3 linked regions of the Pelodiscus sinensis genome follow. The protein of the gene in region 1 interacts with the protein of each later gene in a pairwise test. Links are inferred from orthologs where the notes say so. Each region holds a gene or a part of one and is shown in the gene's direction. Other genes may lie near its edges.

Evidence for each region.
Region 2: the proteins of SEC23B (region 1) and HOXA3 interact in binary tests that used the Homo sapiens proteins (3 or more experiments, as listed by UniProt). The two-hybrid records come from large-scale screens. The link is inferred for Pelodiscus sinensis from reciprocal best matches to the Homo sapiens genes SEC23B and HOXA3.
Region 3: the proteins of SEC23B (region 1) and PRRC1 interact in binary tests that used the Homo sapiens proteins (3 or more experiments, as listed by UniProt). The two-hybrid records come from large-scale screens. The link is inferred for Pelodiscus sinensis from reciprocal best matches to the Homo sapiens genes SEC23B and PRRC1.

The regions. Positions count from the first base shown.
Region 1 is NC_134713.1:193,975,822-193,983,514, forward strand, and holds the start of SEC23B (protein transport protein Sec23B), read left to right. Parts: upstream 1-4,590; 5' UTR 4,591-4,747; intron 4,748-7,693. Other genes in the region: serine hydrolase RBBP9, read right to left, coding at 294-399, 1,505-1,547, 2,471-2,581. UniProt on the Homo sapiens protein: Component of the coat protein complex II (COPII) which promotes the formation of transport vesicles from the endoplasmic reticulum (ER).
Region 2 is NC_134712.1:196,583,197-196,590,767, forward strand, and holds the start of HOXA3 (homeobox protein Hox-A3), read left to right. Parts: upstream 1-4,434; 5' UTR 4,435-4,572; intron 4,573-7,289; exon of another isoform or gene 7,290-7,571. Other genes in the region: HOXA7 (homeobox protein Hox-A7), read left to right, coding at 335-710, 1,635-1,918. UniProt on the Homo sapiens protein: Sequence-specific transcription factor which is part of a developmental regulatory system that provides cells with specific positional identities on the anterior-posterior axis.
Region 3 is NC_134716.1:51,694,069-51,701,556, reverse strand, and holds the start of PRRC1 (protein PRRC1), read left to right. Parts: upstream 1-4,351; 5' UTR 4,352-4,371; intron 4,372-4,408; exon of another isoform or gene 4,409-4,566; intron 4,567-4,684; exon of another isoform or gene 4,685-5,069; intron 5,070-7,488. UniProt on the Homo sapiens protein: May act as a regulator of the protein kinase A (PKA) activity during embryonic development.

The DNA.
Region 1 (7,693 bases):
AGCACCCCAACTATTACATTAGATTTAGCTGAGGGTATTTTACTGTGGCTTTCCGTTCCCACTGTTAAATGTCTAGTTCTTCAACAGCAGATAAGCCCTCCAGTACCCCACCACATTCTCAATCCCTTACATATGGTGCTAATCTTGTCAGAAGGATTCTACTCACACTGACGGCAGGGGGCAATTTTGCCATTGAGTTCAAGTGGAGCAGCTCTGGGATCATTAGCTGAAATGGTCATGATCCCATTAGACTGCAAAACTGGAAACTCAGTGCCTTACCCCCTGTACTGTACCTCATGGCAGCAGCAGCCCCAGAGCTGTGTCCAATAAGGATAGTCTGCCCATCGCAGTGCAGTTCTGATTCCATGAATGGCAGCCAGATGTTCTCTCGAGCTGTAACTGATTTGCAGAGAAGAGATTCAATTGCTTTGCCTTTCCTTATCCACCCCCCTCCTCCCCACGCCCAGCTAGCATGCTCTGCATACAGCTCTCTGGGGGATTTTCTCTTTATTTAATTCTTAGTGAGTTTAGTGCTTGCAGAAGGGGTAAGGTTAGCAGCTATGAAGACCAAAGGCCTCTGTTTAGCCCCACTATGAGTTAAACATACACTGCAGCTGTGCCAGTTCCAACCTTGCTACCCCACCTAAAGTAACTCCACATGGACCTGGAGATGTCAGGTTTAAGGGTCAGTGTGAGGTTTAACCTTCCAAGGCTCAGTCTTTGGCCTCTCGAAAACCAGTTCTAATGGGGATGGTGTGGTGGACACCAGTCTGCTGCAAACTGAGCCGAGACAGACACTATTTGTCTAGAACTACTGGCAGCAGTAGCAACCTGGAGTGTGGCCTTCATAAATACTTCCCTGCTAAGCTACCCAGCTCATCCAGGGCCTGGTACAATCTCTGGGGCTTGCAGGACGCAGTCAAGCATGTACTGTCTGCACACGAGCAATGTTCTGCATCACAGTATGTGCACATAAAACATTCAGGAGCATCCAAACCCTCTCCCCAGCAAAGCATTTCAGCAGGCTGTGCGTCTCCCAGGGCACATCTACACAGCAGGCCTTAACTCAGAATAACCTACGCAAATTAAGCCACGTCAACTGCGTAGCTTATTTCAAAATAGCTTATTTCAAAATAGAGAGGATTTACACAGCGCTTATTTCAAAATAGAGCACTCTTCCTTTTGACTTCCCTAACTCCTTATACAATGAGGGTTACAGGAGTTGGAGTAAGAAGTCTTCCAGCTTTACAGTATTTTGAAATTATTTCGAAATAACTACCTGCTGTGTAGATGCGGACTAATTAAGTTATTTTAGTCCGTGTCTACGCAGCAGACAGTTATTTTGAAATAATGTTGCAGTGCAAACATATCCCATTTGGATTGGGGTGCGGGAACTCCCCCGGAATGAAGACAGCCACTGAGATAAAGCAGGCTCATATTCGTTTTCTGGAAATATTGCCAGTGGGATAATGCAAAATACAGGGAGAAGGTAAAACAGACTTACCTGGGTCAGGCATATTTCGAAGTAAACACTGGAAACCAGGTATCTGTGTGGAGAAGACCAATGATTGCATTATCAAAGGTTGTGCAGTCCCTTGGCAAGCAAACTGTTGCAGTGGTTACACTTGCTTTCCTCCAATGGGTCTTCAGGGTTATGTAGATGGGTCTTGCTACAGTGTTAGGTTGAAAGGTTAAATATTTGGGGTGCACTGGGCAGGGGGGAGGGAGTGAGTCCCAGGCACATGGAGAAGATTGAGGGTTTACTTGGTGCTTTGAAAATGTAAAGCACTGCAACTATATTGCACCAGGAGTTGAAAAAGACTGCTGATTTTACAAATATTTCTTGTTTGAATTACCAGCAATCTCTCCCACCCACTCCCAGGGGTCACCAATCACTGCACTCTAGTGTTTGCAAATCAGTCATCCCCTATTTCTGTGTTTTCTCCTCCATGTGATGTCCAGTGGCTGAACTTCATAACAGAAATACCCAAGTGGGAGTATAGAAAACCAAGTGAGAGTCTCTACAGAAAGCACTATCCACTGCAGCCTTCTTCATGCACCCTTCAAATCAGTGCTAGAGAGCTGTGAACAAGCCAGGAGGAGGAGGGGAGAATGTCGCATGACAAAGACAAGAATCACGGAAAAAGTTGCTTACATCTAATGCTGAACAAGCTTTCTTAGCACAAGAAAAACAAGAGTCTCCCTAAAGAGGCTCCCCCTCTCTGCTTCACTGCAGATGTTCTGGCAGGACCCTTCCGCAGCCCCCTCCTGCTTGCCAGCTGTGGATTTAAAGAAAGGGAAGGTATATGCTAAACCACACAAGAGGGAAGCAGAGGTTGGGGGCAGACAACTTCATTAGAAAAAGAAGCCAGGTGCCTGCCTGACTTAGGGTGTTCCAAATAGCTGGTGAGGTAGGCAGGAGCGTAAATAAACAGGTCAGATCAAACCTTTTGCCACTGCCATGTCTTACCTGCCCTAGTCTTTTCCATGCCCATCCGTACCAGTTGCATTTCTCTACATTGCTTGCCCCATTCCCAGGCACTATAACAGCTTTCATGGGAGGAAGCTGCACCTGGGACATGGCTCTGCAGCAGGAGGAGCGGAAACACAGTTTCAAGCCAAGCGGTGTTGGGTTGGCTGGGAGTGGAGGCAGAAAGGAGGCATCTTGGGAGTTGTAGTTTTCTTGGTAGAAAATGTCTCAGTGGGTAGCTGTGTTAGTCGGTAACGTTAAAAACAACAAGTAGTGCTGTGGCACCCTAGATCAGTGGTCCCCAATGTGGTGCCCGTGGGCACCATGGCGCCTGCTGGGCCATTTATGTGCTCCCGCTAAACAATTTGGGCTGGCCCCGCCCCGGGCACATGGCACATGTGCTGTGCCGGCCCCGGGCGCGTGGCGCATGGGTGGCCCCTGTCCCGGGGCCACGGCACATGTCGGTGCCGGCCCCGGGCTCGCAGTGCATGTGCGGCCCCGCCCCAGGGTGCACTGCCTGTGCATGGCCCCGCCCCCGGGCGCCCGGCAGCCCCAAAAGGTTGGGGACCACTGTCCTAGAGACTAACAAGAATGTAGTATCCTGAGCTTTGGTGGGCGAAACCCACTTCTTAAGATGATGATAGGAAATGATTCACAGCATGGTCCTTGCTGTCATTTGTTCCTCTCTGAGTCTAGAAGCCCCCAAAAAACAAGTGAATAAGAGACAAAAGCAACACATCCGAGACCTGAAAATCACAATACAAGCTAGATAGCGTCTTACCCACTACTTGTTAATTCTGTTGGCAGTGTTGTAGCCATGTTAGTCCCGGGATATTAAAGAAATAAGGTGCTGAGGTAACATCTTTCATTGCAACAACCTCTGTTGGGCAGAGAGACAAACTTTCAAGATCTACAGAGCTTTTCTTCCTGTTCATTTTGCTATTGGCATCTTTTTGTTGGGTGTTTGTACAGTGTCTAGCACTAGGTCCTGGTCAGTGATTGGGGCTCCACAGACAGGAACACAATGCAAATTACTATTAACTGTTACTTTGAGTAGATAATATTATCATGAGGGCCCTGAGACTAGAGGAACTTTGCATCCCCTGCTGCTTATTAGGGGGAAGAGATCTGTGCCCCTGCCTGCCCCCTTATGCACACCTCATCCAGCTGTGAGTTTTATCAGTTCTTAGCTAATGGAGAACACCTTATCAAGAGATGGCATCTGGTTTTACCAGCCTTAGCCTTTCATACACAAACAATAGGGGTGTTATTTAATGGCTGCGCAGCCGATTAACTATTTATCTCTAAGACAGTGAAAAATTCCCCTCGTCCATCAAGTCTTGAGTCTTCAAAACTGGATTCATCTTCTACTGACACTAGATGTGAGCTTGGCCCTTGGTCTTCCCGCAAACACCTACCATCACTGCGTGTGTTTTGTTGAATCTCACTTCTCCATCGTTTCATAGCCACCTCTGTCATGCTCCAAGCATCTATTGACGTGGTGGCCGAATATTTATTCCACCCCTCAGGTTTCCCATTTCTCTGCGTTCGTGGGTTTGTGCTGACTCTTTTTGGGGGCACCCCGGGGCCGCGTGGGCCCCCTGATCAGTGTGAGGACCTAGGAGCGGTTTGTGCGGTGCCAATGTGGATGCCCTGTGAGGATGCTTTGTTACAAGGCCTGGGGGACGCACGCTTTGATGCCAGACAAGGGCCTTTGAAGGTGCCGCTTGTTTTAACAGCGCCCGGCAAAGGAGGCGCGTCCCAGGACTGAGGTGCCTGTTGTGTGACTGCACTCTGGGGGGAGGCTGGTGTGTGTGTGCTGGGGGCGGGGAGGTGTGCACTGTTGCCAGGTGTTCCCCCCCCCTCAGGGAGCACAGGGCAGCTCCACCCCCACGCCCCTGCAGCCTCCTAGCAGGGCTGGCTGGAGGGCGGGGCCTGTCTGCATCAGCTGCCAGCGCCCGTGGAAGGGCGAGTCAGCGCAAACCCCGCAAGGGGCGGGGCGTGGAGCCCGCCCGCCATCGTGGCTGAGGGCGGAAGCCCGTATGGAGGCGCGGGTGCCCTTAGCCATCATGGCGACCGCCCTTGGGCGCCTGGGTGCCGCGCGCAGGCGCCGCCATGTTGGGGAAGGGCACGGTCGCGGCCGAGGCGCCCGCGCCGCCATCTCGCTTGCGGGCAGCCCCGCCGCTGAGCTGGCCTTTCCGGCGCGGGCGCTGCCGGGACACGGATCGTCGGGCGCTGCGAAGCGGAGCCGGAGGGGGCTTGTGGCGCCGCCAGCAGGTGGGTCTGGCGGGCGGGGTCCCCCGGGCCAGAAGGGGGGGGTCTGCCAGTGGGGGATGAGGGGGGGGGGTCTCTGGCCAGAAGGGGGGGTCTCTGGCCAGAAGGGGGGGTCTGCCAGTGGGGGATGAGGGGGGGGTCTCTCTGGCCAGAAGGGGGGGTCTGCCAGTGGGGGATGAGCTGAGGGGGGGGTCCCCCTGGCCAGAAGAGGGGGGTGTCTGCCAGTGGGGGATGAGGTGGGGGGGTCTCTCTGGCCAGAAGGGGGGGTCTGCCAGTGGGGGATGAGGGGGGGTCCCCCTGGCCAGAAGAGGGGGTTTGCCAGTGGGGGATGAGGGGGGGTCCCCCTGGCCAGAAGGGGGGGGTCTGCCAGTGGGGGATGAGGGGGGGGTCCCCCTGGCCAGAAGAGGGGGTCTGCCAGTGGGGGATGAGGGGGGGTCCCCCTGGCCAGAAGGGGGGGGGTGTCTGCCAGTGGGGGATGGGGGGGTCCCCCTGGCCAGAAGAAGGGGGGTCTGCCAGTGGGGGATGAGCTGAGGGGGGGGTCCCCCTGGCCAGAAGGGGGGGGTCTGCCAGTGGGGGATGAGGTGGGGGGGTCCCCCTGGCCAGAAGAAGTGGGGGATGAGCTGAGGGGGGGGGGTCTCTCTGGCCAGAAGGGGGGGTCTGCCAGTGGGGGATGAGCTGAGGGGGGGGGTGTCTCTGGCCAGAAGGGGGGGTCTGCCAGTGGGGGATGAGCTGAGGGGGGTCCCCCTGGCCAGAAGGGGGAGTCCGTCGGGGGGATGGGGTGAGGGGATCTCCTGGTGAGAAGAGGGGCTCCTCCCCATTGAAGGTGGGGGTCACTTTCCCCAGGCCACACGAGGAGGGGAAAGGACCCTGCTGTTGATGTCGGGGTGCTCTTCTCCAGGGTCTGTAGCCGAGCGGGGCCGCTACCTGTCCAGGTTCCCCAGTGTTGTCTGGTTTTGGGGGTCACTGTCCTGGGAGTCTCTCTGGGTGTTTGGTGGGCGCTGCCAGCTGCCCAGCGTGGTGAGGAAAGATCATCCTGAATATTGTGGGGGTTTTGTATCTCGAAGGATGTGGCAACCTGAGCGCTCAGAGAATGGGGTGAGGATTCCCCAGGCCACTGTTCTGGGCAGTGAAAGAGGGACGAGGACCCCCCCCATCACTGATTCCTCCATTCTGGGTGGGGTTGGTGTGTGAGGCCACCATGTTGCTATTGGAGGGGGTGGAGGAGTTTGGCATTGGTGTGAGGGTTCCCATATCACTGGTCAAAGTGTGGAGCGGTGTTATATTTTTTGTGTAGTTTTTTTGGTAAATCTTGACTCGCTTTCACAGAGGAAACAGCTACAATTTCTCCTTTTTTAAAAACTGTTTGCCCTGATCATCTCGCTCTCAAGGTAACACCTACAGCCTAACAAACATCACAGAAATGTTCTGAGAACATCTCGGATACAGGCCACATTTAAAACTAAAGTGGCAAGGCGTTCCTTCACTAAACCAGGATAAGCTAACTGTTACGTCAGGAGTAGCCAATTCTGTCAGGTCCTGTTTTGCGATGCTTCCCGTTTGACTCACAGGCTCTGCTCTGCACAGAAACCCTGAGGAAGGAGAGTATCGAGGGAGGATGTGGGAGGGAGCTCTGAACCTGAGGGATGGGGGTTTGAGCAATGAGTGCTGTTTAGTGGGTTTGAGGATGTCCATGCATGCTGTAGGTGCCGCACCAGATAACAATATCAGTTAGTGTTTGCAGCCTATGTTGCGGACAAGTTCAAACAGCTCTGGACAGGGGTGCTGGCACAATTTCTATAGGGTCCTTTGAACCAAACTGTAAATCCTGAATATAATGGAAACTGCTTCAAGTCAGCAGCACCAGCGTCTATGGCTCTGGACCAAACTTTCTGCCTCAGCAAAAGCCGAATTAGTTCTCAGGAGAAAGGGGGGCATGCAAATGTGTCTTTGTCTCTCTCTGTCTCTGGAATTTAGTCCTGGAAGCTTCTTAGAGTTGTGAAGATGTGGGAGTAGCACAGACAAATCACTGTAGATCAGATCTATTTCTTTGCCAACTGGACACAACCATTGGGGTGGGTTATGGACCGTGTTGAGAGCTAATTGTAAATGTTTCCTTTCTGTGGGACACAGTGCTAGTTTTGCATAAAAAAGCATCTGCTGCTCCGCCCTCAACTCAAAAAGACACCTGATGCTGACTATTTCTTACATATCTTTCTCCTATGTCTGATGAAGTGGGTTATGCCCTAATCAATATGTTAGTCTCTAAGATGCCACAGGATTCCTCATTGTGTCTTACATGGTTAACGCTCTGAGGAAGAGTGTCTATAGCAGTGGTTTTCATTTGCAGAACCCTAAAAAATGTCAAGTGGATATGGACCCCTTTGGAAACTCATAATCTGCAAAACCCTAGGAGTCTGTGTTGACAGGTTGAAAACCACTGAAATAGAGGATAGTCATGAAACAGTAGCAGTACGTGCGTTCTTCAGTCTCTTTGACCTCCATCAGGTCTGTTTTGCATTGGGTGTAACATAGAAACTGCATTAGTGGTCTTGGTTGATTGTCTCCTGTTGGTGGATAGTGATTAAGTCAAATTCTTTTTGCTCTCTAACTATCCTCAATGCCATTGACAAATCACGTGAACATGGATTCTAACAGAGACTGATATGGTCTTGCCTTGAGCACTTCTGTGTTTTCTTTTCTGAGAGGTCTCAAGGATTTTGGGTAGTTTGTGTCCCGAATATGATCTCGTGTGGGGTTCCCAGGGTTTCATCTTGTCATGTCTGGTTCAGTGTGTATGTGGTGCTGCTACAGCAGCGAGGGGCAACCTAGGCTCATGAGTGACCCTCCTTCATCTCTGAGGGCTGCAGGATTGTTGTAACCAAAATGGTTTCCCGGGATAGGGTAGTTTTGCTAACTGCACTTACCTAGAATTTGCGAATGTGCGGCTTG
Region 2 (7,571 bases), on another chromosome or scaffold:
ATTTACTTACTCTACTTTATAGGGATCTTATAAAATATCATCTACCATGTGGCTCCCTTAACCAAAAGCCCTCTTGTCTTTAATTTGTTAGACATATATTTGATCCTCTTCCCCTTCCATTATAGGACATTGTGAGACACCCTGATCTATACCACCTGTGATGCAGGAGGAGATTGGAGGATGGGGTCATATGACTGGTCACGTGCTGGAGGCAGCTCAGTCCAAAAGAAAATGGGGTTTGGTGTAAATCTGGGGGTGTAATGTTATCATATATCACGCTACCTCGTAAAACCGACACGGAAGCCTACCGGACAACAAATCACAGGTCAAAATTATGAGTTCTTCGTATTATGTGAACGCTCTTTTTAGCAAATATACGACGGGGGCTTCTCTTTTCCAAAATGCAGAGCCTACTTCTTGCTCCTTTGCAACCAACTCTCAGAGAAGCGGCTATGGACCAGGGGCTAGTGCTTTCACCTCCTCCATGCCTGGCTTGTACAATGTGAACAGTACCATATATCAAAACCCGTTCTCTTCCGGATACAGCCTGGGCTCAGATGCCTACAACCTGCATTGTTCCTCTTTTGATCAGAACATTCCCGTCCTCTGCAATGATCTAACCAAACCCAGCTGTGAGAAAGCGGAGGAAAGCAACCTGCACAGCCAGGCTGAGGCTAATTTCCGGATATACCCCTGGATGAGGTCTTCAGGTATGGGGAACGGAGAGGGCAAAGCGATGGCAGCCAGGCAAATGTGTAGCCGAAATTACTGTCAGCACAGCCTTTATGGTTTTAATTATAGCAGAGGCGCCATTGCGTAGAAAGCCCGTGGCATTGTATGTAAATGAGTATCATAAAACTTTTTATTGCTCAATTAATGGGTTCTAGCCTCGTAAATTTATTTAAGTCAATTTGCTGTGGAATTTTAGTATTAAGTTTATTTGTTCGGTTTGCTAGAGAAATATCGAGAGCTGGCTCTGTACTCGGTGAGCCCCCACGGGTCAGTGTTCCCCGCCCCCACCCCAACAAACGGCACAAACAATCATATTTACTGGGAAAGGCAGAGGAAAGAAGGGCTCTGAGGAGGGGAGAAAAGACAATTTCAGAGGGGGCAGGGGTGTTCTAGCTCCTTGTGAAATGTGGCATGTGTCTTGCCTGGGGATCAGGTTTTGTATACAAGTACAAGGGGGGAAAAAAAGATCTAGCAAATGTGAGGCTCTGCCCTTGCATCTATTGCTAGTATGTGGATCTCGTCTGAGGGGGGGAAAAACGCCTGGAATAAATAAATACATGCAAATATTCCAGACCCTGCTTTATTTCCCTTTGTGAACCACGAAAGTCTCCATGGAGGACGCTGTTGAAACGTAGCCGAGTGTAACGTTCATCCTTTAGAAGGCAACATTTTTTTGATCTTACACCGAAGTGGAGAGAAAAGGTTTATTCCAGATAAGTTAATTTGCCATGTTTGAGCCGGGCAGGCTGTCCGAGAGAAATGCCTTTGTTGGGAGGGGGGAGGGAATAAAGGAAGAGGATTTACTCCAGTTGCTTGATGACTGTTTGTAAATACCAACTTTCCATTTAACTGATTAGCGTCATGTTTCTGGCTAACTTCTGCGCCTGTTTGCCTGCTTTCAGGTCCAGATAGGAAGCGGGGTCGCCAGACGTACACTCGCTACCAGACACTGGAGCTGGAGAAGGAATTCCACTTCAACCGCTATCTGACTCGCCGGCGGAGAATAGAGATCGCCCATGCTCTGTGCCTCACTGAGAGGCAGATCAAAATCTGGTTCCAAAACCGGAGGATGAAATGGAAGAAAGAGCATAAAGAAGAGAGCGCCAGCACCCCAGCGACCAACGAGAACACGTCAGCAGCAGCGTCTGTGGAGAAAGTGGAGGAAGAGGAGGAAGAAGACGAGTAAAAGCCCCCATTTGATGAAGCAATCTCTAGTATTATGTATGCACGTGACAGTTGTAAAAGCTCTCTTGAAAAAAGACTCACTGTTTTATTTTCAGTATTCGGTTCCCCTTAATGAACATCTTGTAACCGAGCATTTTAGAACATGAAAAGGTCCCCTCCCTTGACTTGTCTTCCAGTCCCCACCTTCCCAGAGCTCCCCTATTTCCTGCCTAACCGAATTATAATCTCGCATAAAGTCATCCTGGTCATCTTATTTTCGTTTGCCCAAACCTAGGCTGTTTTGTTTGAGAACATTTGCTAGAGAGAACTACTCCTTGCACATGCAGGAAAAAAAATCACTTCCAGCGTAACTACCTGACTCAATTAGTCCCAATCAGTTGTGCAGGGGAAAGTGCATTAGGATCACGTAAAAAAACTACCTAACTTAGAATAAATAGTTCTGCACTTCCTGTTTGCTTTTATTTAAATAGGTCAAAACAAACAGACAGCATTAAACAGCAAGTGGAAAAAAAAATACCCTGCAAAAAATAATGAAACAGAAACCACTACATCCTGCAATTATTTGTACTACCTATCTTCCAGACTACCTATTTCTTGTTCCGCCTACCTATCTTCTACGCTATACTGTATTTTATTAATCAAAAGAAAATAACATACTAATGTGAATTGTAGAATGCTTTTAGTAACGTAAGTGTAGTCCTTTAAAAAGTACGCATCAATAGCTTTGGTATATAATTTGGTACCGAAAATGCTAAATATATTTAAATTGAAAAATAATATATTTATTCCAAAGCAATTATAAATGAAAACCATATGCTGCAGTATATCTTTCTTCTCAGTCCTTTACTATTCCGAGTGGAGAAGAAAACACATGCTAATATTGTACAAAGCGCTTTAATAGCTTCTATTGGCTTCTACCTTTTGAAGTACACTGTTACAGGCCGGTTTGTTTTCTAAGCTCATCCTACTTAAAATAGCGGAAACTGTTTCTTTAAAAACTGAATTAAGACGACTATGTTAGCGCCTCTCAAAAATCTTTTTGTCCTGATTTCGGAATGTGTTAATATGTAATACCGTGATTTTTCCTACAATAGCAAATACTGTATATTTAAACGATTTTTTTGTCATTGATATTGTCTTGAAATCATTTGTAAGATCACGTCATAAACTGAGAAGTCTGTAATTAAATTGGTATCTTGGTAGCATGATGTCTTGTTAAGATTTCTGTATAAATCCTTCATGGAGGTTTGGCTAAAGTTTATTCATAAATTGTACGTTACAATGTGTTTCGATGTGTTCATTGTGAACATTTGAATATACCGTGTAAGTATTGGCAGTGGAGGACAAAAATGTATGTTCACTCTCTTTGGAAGTGATACCGTGTTCAAATATCTCCCACAATAAATGTGTTTTATGTTACGCAGAAAATAAATATGCTTGTTGACAATGAATTGTGTTTCTTTATTAAGGAGCAGTTCAAAGGAAGCATAAAACTGACATGGCCAAGTAAAGAAATAAGATCAAATATGTAATTTTCATTTGCACTCAAAACCAAAAATTCATAGGCGATGGATTGACAGGACTCAGTCAGTTTCGCTAACTAGCGTTTTCACCTGGGTTGATTAATTAAGCAGAGAGCACTCCTGAAGCGAGAGGCTCCTATGTGCTTCGGTGAAATTTTAAAAGCACAGTAGACATGAAACCTGCCTATACGCCGGCGGAAATCCGCATTAGCGAAATAATACTTGATTGTAGACGCGAGCTGCAATGCGAAAGTTCCAAGTGTTGAAGCTGTAGTCAGGTGTGTGTTTGCGTGTCAGTCATAGTAGGGGACAATAGAAAAAAATATAAAATCAAAACATATAATTAAACCCACCCGTCTATATGTCAAAAAAAAAATCTCCCTGCCTATTATTAGAAAACGAAAAGCAGGTACCGCATTTTAATATCAAATTTTAAAAGATTATGCATGAAAGTCTCGTTGGAAGGAAGGAAAAAGATAGAGATAATGATTCCCTTCTCTGCAGACTAGTTCCCTACCTCTGCGGTGTGGCAAATGTTCTAATTGCAATTTTAATAGAATTAGATCAAACTCTAGGTCTTTTAAAACTCTAGGGCTGCCTCTCTGGTAAGATGGCGCCTCTCTAAGACCTGCCTCTTCTTAGTGATGAGGAAAAGGCCATAAATCCGTTGTTGTTTATGAAAATTTACAACTTTGCAATACAACTTTATGAGTTGCTCGGTTTTTCCATTGGTCGCTGTCGGTCATGTGGATGGTAACCGTGAACATGAACTTTTTTATAATTTCCCTTGCGAGAATAGAGCTGCATTCTTTAGCTCAGCTCTGTCCTGCTTCGGATCTCTCTGGCTTTCAATCCCCCATTTCATTTGTTCTTTGTAAGGCAATAGTGAACCAAGTGTATGGAGGTTCAGCATAAGCAGCCGCCTAGAACACAGACCCTGGATGGCAATTTCCAATTCCTCCGCTGGAAGGTGTGGCATATTGGATTCAAAGCACTGGAGTGGCAGATTTTCAACTTGCAACCTGGCTAATTTCCTGCTTCTTCTGGCACCAAAAGGAGGGCGATTCGTCTCCTGTGCAGCCAAAGCGACAGCTGTCAAAGTAGCAGGGGCTCTGCGAGCCAGAACCTAAAGGTGAGAAATGTATATAACAGTATCTTAAGCAGGGTAACATTATTTTAATATCCATATATGCATTTATGATACCCGCATATGTAATATATGTATGTATATATTATACATGGAATGATACCAGTTGAAGAATTACCAACCTATTATTTAGCTTGTTTAAATTTAGACAATGCATGCAACAATACAAGTGTTTATTATTTAGCAAGCCTGACGTGTAATTTTAATAAAGGAGATTTAAAAGATTGCTATCACATTCACCTTCGGATTATTTTTATTTTTATTATTATTTATTTATTATTTCTTTTATCACTCGGATTTATCAAATTAGGTGGAGATAATTTGCTCAAGAAAACTATTTTCATTTTGTTTCCCAGTATTTGCAAATTCATTCGTGTTAACGGCAATTTAAGATGTTTGGAAATGCACTTACAATTTCAGACAGAGACCAACCGGCATAATATCTTCTCGTTCCATAAAATGTCTAGGAGAGAGAGAGAGGGAGAAAGAGAGCGAGAGAGGGGGGATATTTCTGGAACAGTAGAATAGGAGAAATGTGTGCATAGGTTGCTTTAGCGGATAAATCACTTGTATACAGTATAATTGTGTCACGTCATTGTGTTGCGCGGAGCTTGAACAATATTACAGACATTTTTCTAAATACGTCGCTTCTGGAGTAATTCTATCTAAAGCTGGATTTTAAGCCATCCGTCCTACACCAGATGCTGAAATGGAGCTTTTTCGATGTCAGTGGAAGCAAATAAGAGGTACAAGGGTCGATTTAGTTATAGTTTTGAAAAATGGAACACGGGGCGGGTGGGGGGAAGGAAACCGAGCTGGGCACAAGGGGTTTTAGCACGGCATGGGCATCAGAACGTGGCTTTCACCGATCTGGCGTTGCTTCCTATGTTTGTGTGCTGGAAACCGCGGCATTGGTTCAGGGTTCTGCTTCTGTGATATCTCGATATTCATTACAGTAATTAAAAATGAGCTGCGAGCGCTTTAAATGCTAACGGCGGCGTTGTTTGTGTTCTCCGGGCTGATAAAGAATTACATTTGCATTGCATTGCAGTAGCTGCGTGGCTGCAACTGCAGTGAGTGTCGGGTTATTTATGGCGGAGCGACAGGCTCTCAGTGCTGCCACTGTGTGGCGGAAACAAGGCGATCCAAAGGCAGCAGCAAGCAAGAGGCGAATTGTCTGCAATCCTCTTGGAGAAATCCTAACAAAATTCGGCCTACCTAGGGACCCCAGTCACTCTCCACCCCGGACGGGCTAATTCTACAGGGCGGGGCTTCGTGTGGTTTTGGTTTGTTTTGTTTTTAAACTTGTGTTGTGCGTCGAAAGCAAAATGTCACCGTGTGAACTAGTTTGAAGGGGGGTAAGATCGAGGCTGCCCAATGACACTACTCCTACCAGTTCAATCTAAACAGTGGTTTGGAGGGCAAAAATTGTTTGGATTATAGGCTATCTGTTAAAGGTTGTTTTCTGTTGGCGCTATGAACATATGTAAGCGGATTCAGAAGGGGGCTTTTAAGTCGAAGTGGGTAACTGCTCCCTGCACCTGTACTCCAGCGTTGGTTGAATTATGGAGTCTGTGAAAGAAAGAAAGAAAGAAAGAAAGAAAGAAAGAAAGAAAGAAAGAAAGAAAGAAAGAAAAACAAAGAAAAACAATCCGCGTCTTGTTAAAGTTCTAATCAGGTTTTTTCAACTGCGTGCTGACATTTAAAAAAATAATTTAAAGCATACGGAAGGCGCAGGTCTGCTCACTTTGTTACAATTACAGAAGTGCAATTGGGAACTTTTAAATATTCACTTTTCCAAAATAAGTGTTCTAAATAGCTGCCATTAAACCTGTGTGACTCGGAGCACTCCCGCTTAAAGCTTTGTTGTGGCGGGGTGTTTTGATTTTGTTTTTGTTTTGTTTTTTGCATATTGAATATAACTAAAACCACGATGGCCATGCAAATTGTGTAGCTGCTGCTGAGACAAGCCTTAACCATAACAAACGTGTACTTTCATTTACTTTGCGGTTTACTACGGCGGAAGCAGCTACGAAATGTTTTCATTTACTATGCTGAGACATTAGAGATTCTGACTTTGGCTGGAACAAGAATCTCCGATTAAGATTCCTGTGCAAATCATTTCCTCTCCCTTAAAAAAAAAAAGAGATAATAACCAATGTGAAACCGACATAATAAAATTTAAATATTTATCAACCTCTCATTTTTTCCTGATGGATCCAATGCGTCTTCAAAGAAGAGCCCTCACGAGCGCAACTTTTTAAAAGAAGTATGGAGTTAGATTTTTGTGTATTCCCCGAATCTGATTTTCATGGCACGTTTCCGGTCTAGTCTCTGCTAAACATTTTCACATAAAAAAAAAACCCCTCAACAACCCCTCATTTGTATTCACCGTTTCTCCTCCGCACACATAGTGCAAATTCATCCGGATACGGATTCTTTTCAGTAGACACCCATAATGTTCAGCTGTTCTCTCAAAGCATATACTGTTTATTCGACCAGATGTGTATATAGATTAGCCCCGGAGCACAGAATAGGGGGGGAAATAAAAATGGAAGGTAATCAACATCTCAGTGTGAAAGTCCAACGGAGAACGCTAACAATACCAACTATTGTGGAGAGATGTTTTAACTCGCCACTGTTTTATAGGTACCGTAATCATCCTCCGGAAATGAGGAACGGAACCTTCCCACAACAGCACAACTCACGTCTCCAAAGCTGGTTTAGGTGTTATCGGAAACAGAACTGGTGCAAATGTCTCTTTAAACATCGGCTCTTCAGTCTGTGGTCATAGGCACGGATTAGGAATTTGGAAGGAAGCATCTTGTTATTTTTAGGAACTGCTGGAGTAGGCGGAATTTAAAGCATCTCTGTGAATTCCAGCCGCGCTGCTACCGCGTCTGCCCTGGGCCCAGGACTGTAGGTCCGCCCTGGGATCAGTGCCAAGTTGCACAGTACACGTTAAGATGTTTGTTACAACCGCA
Region 3 (7,488 bases), on another chromosome or scaffold:
AGCACATTGAAAAAGCGATCTGCTTTTTCGAAAGATAGCATCCAGTCAATATGGACGCTATCTCGCATTTGTTATTACTATGGATGGAGTGGCCACCAGGGCACCTGTGCTTTTTCCTGGAGGCCTCTTCTTTCAGAAAAAAAAACCCCTCAAACTAGTTGTATACTCTATAATTAATTTCTCCAGTCCAGTAACAAGTGAGAACTTCTAAAGCACTATAACAGCGTTAACAAAGTCATGTGGCATCCCTTTGGGTACATATTGGGTCTATGTGGCCACCCAGGCAGTCTTACCTTGGTGATAGTAATCCTTTACAGAAAAAAAAATCTCATCAGTATTTGAGTTTTGCCCCAAAAGCTAATGATTCTATATATTTTGGTTAATCTCTAAGGCTACGTCTACACTGCAATGCTATTTCGGGATACCCGAGTATTCTGAAATAGCAATCCCATGTCTTCACAGCAAGCCCGTTATTTTGGGCTTGCTATTCTGACATCCCTGTAAACCTCATTCTACGAGGAGTAAGGGACATTTCGGAATAGCGCTTTATTTCGAAATTTGGCACAAAATAAGCTATTTCAAAATAGCATCAAAATAAGATGTGCAATTTGCATAGCTATAAGTGCTTATCATATTTTGAGTTATGGTATAGTGTAGACACACTTGAACGTGCCACAGGACTACTAGTTATTTTAAAGTTACAGACCAACATGACTACCCTTCTGAGATCAACATTTGGGTTATTCCCAGCCCCAAAGAACTATTATAACAAAATAGGTAAAAGTTTATTAACAAAACATCATTTACAAGATTTGAACATATACACAACTGAGATACAGTCTCCATTAGTTTCCAAGACAGGCCAACCAGTCCCAGGAGCCCTGGGGAACCAGGTCAAGGAGGGACCATGCCTGAGCCCTGCTGCGCTACCAACTTTTTGCTGGTGGTGAGCAGATACCCAAGTCCCTTTTCTGCCAAGTGTCCGAGGCAGAACATCAGAAATGGCTGCCCGTCGCAGGGAGCCATAGCCTGTAATACCTCTGAGGCTGGTATAGGGGGCTCTGTCTGTGAGGTGGAGTGTTTTCCATATAAGGGCATGTAAATTAATAATCTTCCCCTGCTCGCTCCACCCATTGCAGTAACAGATCAGCTAATGGGCTGACTGGTGCTCAGGCCTGCTACTCCACCCACTGCAGCAAAAACCAACCTATGGGGTGATAAGTTCACAGGCAATAAAACAGGCAGGCAGCCCCTCTCTCACTGGGGATTCGCATTGAGTGAACGCCTGGCCTGATCACCCAGACGCCTTGCACCCCCCGCTCTTGAGTCTTACTGAGCGTACTCCGAGTTGGTCGACCCGAGTGGAGACAGTTTATGAGCGTGTGACCGATACTTGTGTTCCTGCTGTCTCCAGAACTGGTATAACACCCCCCCCCCCCCCAATCATCCCTATCCTAATTGATTTTTTAGTTGTCCTTATTGCTTGCCAAGTGACAGTGGCTAAAAAGTTACTAAGTTAGTTTATAAATAGTTGTGGTTTAGGTTTTTTACTGTTTCCTTGTATAAAGTTGTGTAAATAATCAGCCCTATGGATAATACCAGTGTTAATTCAACTGTTCCTAACCCCTGGGCAGTTATTGGGAATTATTGTGATTTAGAAAAGCCTCAGGGAATTGTTTTGTGTTGTCTGGCAATCTGTTTAATTTTTGTTCTGATGATTGTCTGGCGCCATCAGAATAAAATCAGTTTGTGCTTTTTGAAACCCCCAGTTGTGGTCTCATCCTTTCCGGCATCCCTTCGAACCTAGTGTATTACGGGGACTGACACCAAGCATTCTGCGTGAACACCAGCTGGGCTACGTCTACATTGGCGGCATCTTGCAAGAACAGCCATTCTTGAGCAAAAACTTGCCTGCTGTCTACACAACACATGCGTTCTTGCGCAAGTAAGTTTACAGTATAGCGTTGTAAAACAGGGCTTCTTCCGGAAGAGTTATTCCTCTCCCCAGGAGGAATAAGAACATAAGAACGGCCGTACTGGGTCAGACCAAAGGTCTATCCAGCCCAGTAGCCTGTCTGCTGACAGTGGCCAGCATCAGGTGCCCCAGAGAAGGTGGACCGAAGACAATGATCAGCGATCTGTCTCCTGCCATCCTTCTCCAGCCTCTGACAAACAGAGGCAAGGGACACCATTTCTATCCCCTGGCTAATAGCCTTTTATGGACCTAACCTCCATGAAATTATCTAGCTTCTCTTTAAACTCTGTTATAGTCCTAGCCTTCACAGCCTCCTCTGGCAAGGAGTTCCACAGGTTGACTACACGCTGTGTGAAGAAGAACTTTCTTTTATTAGTTTTAAACCTGCTACCCATTAATTTCATTTGGTGTCCTCTAGTTCTTCTATTATGGGAACTAATAAGTAACTTTTCTTTATTCACTCTCTCCACACCATTCAGGATTTTATATACCTCTATCATATTCCCCCTAAGTCTCCTCTTTTCTAAACTGAAAAGTCCCAGTCGCTTTAACCTCTCTTCATATAGGACCCGTTCCAAACCCCTAATCATTTTAGTTGCCCTTTTCTGAACCCTTTCCAAGGCCAAAATATCTTTTTTGAGGTGAGGAGACCATGTCTGTACACGGTATTAAAGATGTGGGCGTACCATAGTTTTATACAGGGGCAGTAAGATATTCTGTGTCTTATTTTCTATCCCTTTCTTAATAATTCCTAGCATCCTATTTGCCTTTTTGACCGCCGCTGCACACTGTGTGAAAGTTTTCAGAGAACTATCCACGATAACTCCAAGATCTCTTTCCTGATTTGTCATAGCCAAATTAGCCCCCATCATGCTGTACGTATAGTTGGGGTTATTTTTCCCGATGTGCATTACTTTACACTTATCCACGTTAAATTTCATTTGCCATTTTGTTGCCCAATCATTCAGTTTGGTGAGATCTTTTTGGAGTCCCTCACAGTCTGCTGCTGTCTTGACTATTCTAAACAGTTTGGTTTCATCCGCAAACTTTACTACCTCACTGCTTACCCCTTTCTCCAGATCATTTATGAATAAGTTGAAAAGGATTGGTCCCAGGACTGACCCTTGGGGGACACCACTAGTTACCCCTCTCCAATCTGAAAATTTACCATTTATTCCTACCCTTTGTTTCCTGTCTTTTAACCAGTACTCAGTCCAAGAAAGGACCTTCCCTCTTATCCCATGGCAATGTAATTTACACAAGAGCCTTTGGTGAGGGACCTTGTCAAAGGCTTTCTGAAAATCTAAGTATACTGTATCTACTGGATTCCCCTTGTGCAAGAGCTTTTTCACAAGAGGGCTGTGTAGACAGGCAACATGAATTTCTTGCGCAAGAAGCCTCTATGGTTAAAATGGCCATCAGAGCTTTCTTGCGCAAGACAGAATCCACATTGCAATGGATGCTCTTGTACAAAAGCACATCTCTTGCGCAAAAGCACATTCCAGTGTAGCTGTGCTTTTGTGGAAGAGTTTTTGTGCAAGAACTCTTCCGTAAAACAGTTTGGCTGCATCTAGACTGGCATGATTTTGCGTAAATACTTTTAACTGAAAACTTTTTCCGTTAAAAGTATTTGTGCAAGAGAGCGTTTATACTGGCATGTGCCTTTGCACAAAAGATTTGCTTTTGCGCAAAAGCATCCGTGCCAGTGTAGACGCTCTCTTGAGTAAGAAGGCTCCGATGGCCATTTTAGCCAACGGGCTTTCTTGTGCAAGAAATTAACGTTGCTGTCTACACTGGTCCTCTTGCGCAAGAGGGCTTATCCCTGAGCAGGAGTATCAGAGTATTTGCGCAAGAACCACTGCTTTTGTACATTACAAAGTTAGTGTTCTTGCTTAAATACTCGCTGCCGGTGTAGACAAGCGGCAAGATTTTGCGCAAAAGTGGCCGCTTTTGCGCAAAATCATGCCAGTCTAGACGCAGCCTTCTTGCGCAAGAAGCTGCCAGTGTAGATGGAGCCCAGATGCTTGCCAACCCCAGTTGTCAAGTGCAGCCTTTGGCATGAATTGGCACCATGTCTACCAGCATGTCACTGCCTGCCTGCCTCCTCTCTTTTCCATACTTTCATCCCAGTAGAGGCATCACAAGAAAGGCTGATATGAACAGGTGCAATGGCGCCTCCTTGTATTACACCCACTTGCTCCTTTGCACGTGTTCACATCCGGCCTTGCTGGTGGTGTCTGGGGGGGGGGGGGGGCAGGGACAAGGGTTTGCGAAGGGGGCCGCGCAGGGCTGGCGGTGGCTGCAGTGACGGGCTCCGCCCGGCAGGGGTCTGAGCCGGCCGAGGAGCAGGAGGCACAGCTCGGCCAGGCTGCGGGCGGCACATGAAGAGTCCTGTGGTAGGTGGCCGGGACCCCGCCCCGCCCCGCTCCAGCGCCGCAGCCGGCCCCGCCCGCCACAGGCGAACGTGGCAGGAGGTGGCGTCTCGCGCCCAGGCGCGGCCATTTTGGATGCGGGGAGCGAGCGGCGGCGCGGGAAAGCAGCGCCACGGAAGCGTCGCCCCAAGGTCCCGCCAAAGAGGAACCCGCAGCCAGGTTGGGAAGGGAATGGAGGTGTCAGATGCAGCCGCCAGACGTGGCGGCACGCGCGACAGCGGCCTGGCCCCAGGCGCATGCGCAGAGCCGCCAGCGGGGCAGAGACGTGGCAGCCCACACTGGTGGCGGGCGGTATCGCGCATGTGCGGGGCCGCCAAGCCTCTTGGGAGCTGTAGGCGCTCTGCTGGGTCTGCGCCCCCTTCCTTGCCAGGGTGGGCCAGGTCCCGCTCGCGCTCATTCCCCCCCCCCCCCCCTGAGGTTGTGTCCGCGCGGGGCCTGAGGGCGGAGCTTCTGCGACCACGTCAGAGGCGGCTGCGGGGTGACTCACGGAGCGCGGCGGCCCGTTGCTGCCGTTGGGGAGGTTTGTTTTACGGCCGGTAGGGGCGGGGCGGGGCGGGGCGCAGGGGGCTCAGACAATCGATGCTGCTGCTTAGTGTGAGCAGGGCCCCCAGAGACCGTCCCGCTTCCGGGAGCTGCAGCGGCTCCGGCCCGGGGCTGCCGAGGTGGGTTCGCTCTTGGGTTCCAGTGTTGTCGAGAGTTTTCTTCTCTCTTCCGCAGCGCGGGGGCAGGAGTCTCTGGGAACCAAACGGATGCGAGCTGGGCCTCTGCGGGCCGGTCACTGCAGACCCCGCCGCTCTACACAGGGCAGCCTTGTTTGTCCTGCTGGCGTGTAACCCAGTGACCTACTTCCCAGCGCTGGGCGGCTTCTGTGGGTTTAAATAGGGAGGGGTTAATACATCCCCCGAAGGCTGCTCTCCTGGTTCAGTAACCATTTTGTGCTGTGGGGTCTCTGCTCTAGGTCGCTCACTCCTTGGGGTAGGGACCAGCTCTTCTGTCTGACATTTGCTGCCTGCTTGCTGGTATCTGAGGTTTTGTTGGTGCAGTGCTAGTGATTAAATGTGACACTCTTGCAGTCCAGCAAATAGCTGTTTAGAAAACAGTTGTGCCTTGAGGTAGTCTGATCATGGACATCCTTGCTAGGAGCCTGAGAAGAGAGCTGGTCTAGAAAAACTGAAAAGTTGTCATTTTGACTTAACTCCCTAGGGTTTGGGGCAAGTCAGTTACCGTTCATTCCTACTATTGACTCTGTGTGCATGATTTCCTGTGCCCACGTGGCACTTGATTTACATCAGCAAGGCTCTGTCACCTGAGGGGCCTGGCTATCTTCATTAAAAATAACTGGGATCAATCCCCTTATGTCAAGTGGAACTAACATTATTTATTTAGCTGCTTCAGGCGCTTTGTCGAGATAAATTAGTCAGAATGATAATAGCTGATCGTTAGTTGAAGAAGTCAACAGCAAATGGTCATCACAGCATGTTCTGATCTTTTCTGCCTTGCCCAAGGTTGAGCTGAGTGCCACAGGGGCCCAAAAGAGTGTTTCAGAGCTTAAGTCCTTACCCCAGTGCTTGTGAGCTGTTTCCGTTTTCTGGCCTTTAACGAGGTTGTCAAAATATAATGGATTTTAATGAACCACTTTATTAGAAGATGAAACAATATGCATAGGGTGGTATGAGTCTGAGGTCCTTTATCTTTCCCTAGCAGCACCAATTCTTTCATCTCCCCATACACTCCTTCCCCAAAACTAACTTGGATGTCCATCTAACATAGGGGCTACGTCTACACTGGCCCCTTTTCCGGAAGGGGCATGTTAATTTCAGCTATCGCAATAGGGAAATCCGCGGGGGATTTAAATATCCCCCGCGGCATTTAAATAAAAATGTCCGCCGCTTTTTTTCCGGCTTTTAGAAAAGCCGGAAAAGAGCGTCTACACTGGCCCCGATCCTCCGGAAAAAGCGCCCTTTTCCGGAGGATCTTATTCCTACTTCAAAGTACTTGAAGTACTTGAATAAGTACTTGAATAAGATCCTCCGGAAAAGGGCGCTTTTTCCGGAGGATCGGGGCCAGTGTAGACGCTCTTTTCCGGCTTTTCTAAAAGCCGGGAAAAAAAGCGGCGGACATTTTTATTTAAATGCCGCGGGGGATATTTAAATCCCCCGCGGATTTCCCTATTGCGATAGCTGAAATTAACATGCCCCTTCCAGAAAAGGGGCCAGTGTAGACGTAGCCAAGGAAATACTGATTTAATATCTGTAACAGATTTAGGCTATGTCTATACTACAACTTACAAATAAAGCCACCTTTAAGTGACAAAAATTATACTGACCTAAGCGCTGATTGGACAGCACTATATTGGCTGGAAACTTCTGTGGTCAACATGGCACAGCTGCATTGAGGCACCACTGTAAGTTCCCTAGTGTAGCCATAGTCTTAGAAGATGAAAAGGACTACAGTTGATATGAGTATTATTTATATTTGCACCTATACATCCCTTAATTAGGATGCATGTATTCAGGATAGCTTCTCATTTGGGGATGCTTCCTAGGAGTTCATTGGTCTAAAAATAAATGGTGTTTGGTGACAACAGCTGCTTAATCAGGAGAGTATTAATTAGGCATGTGACTGTGCAGCCAAGTACACAGTTAACCAATGAGCTTGGGCCCTCCGTGGACAAAGGCTTTCAGTGGCAGCCGTCCCTGCCCCCCCCGCGCTGCCTCTGCTATAGGCAGCAGCTCAGAGGGACGGCAGGAGGCTCCCACCAAGCACCAGCTCCTGTCAGCCCCCTTCACTGCTTCTGTTTGAGATAGGGTGGTTAAATTGCATTTAATCAGCTGATTGAGTAATCAATGGTATTTCCATTGACTACTTGATTAGTTGATAAAGGGGGGAAACTGCAGTGCTACAGCCTGGTTAGCTTCCAGCCCTGGGGAGAATCCTGCTGCGGTTCTGCCTTTTAAATGTATTAAGAGCCACCAGGGCCACCTCCTCCCCCCCCCCCCGCAGAGTTGCTACTGGGGGAAACCAGCTTTTCGTCTGGCTCTCCCCAGCATTGGCTCCTGCTCTCCTCCCCCCACACCCTTG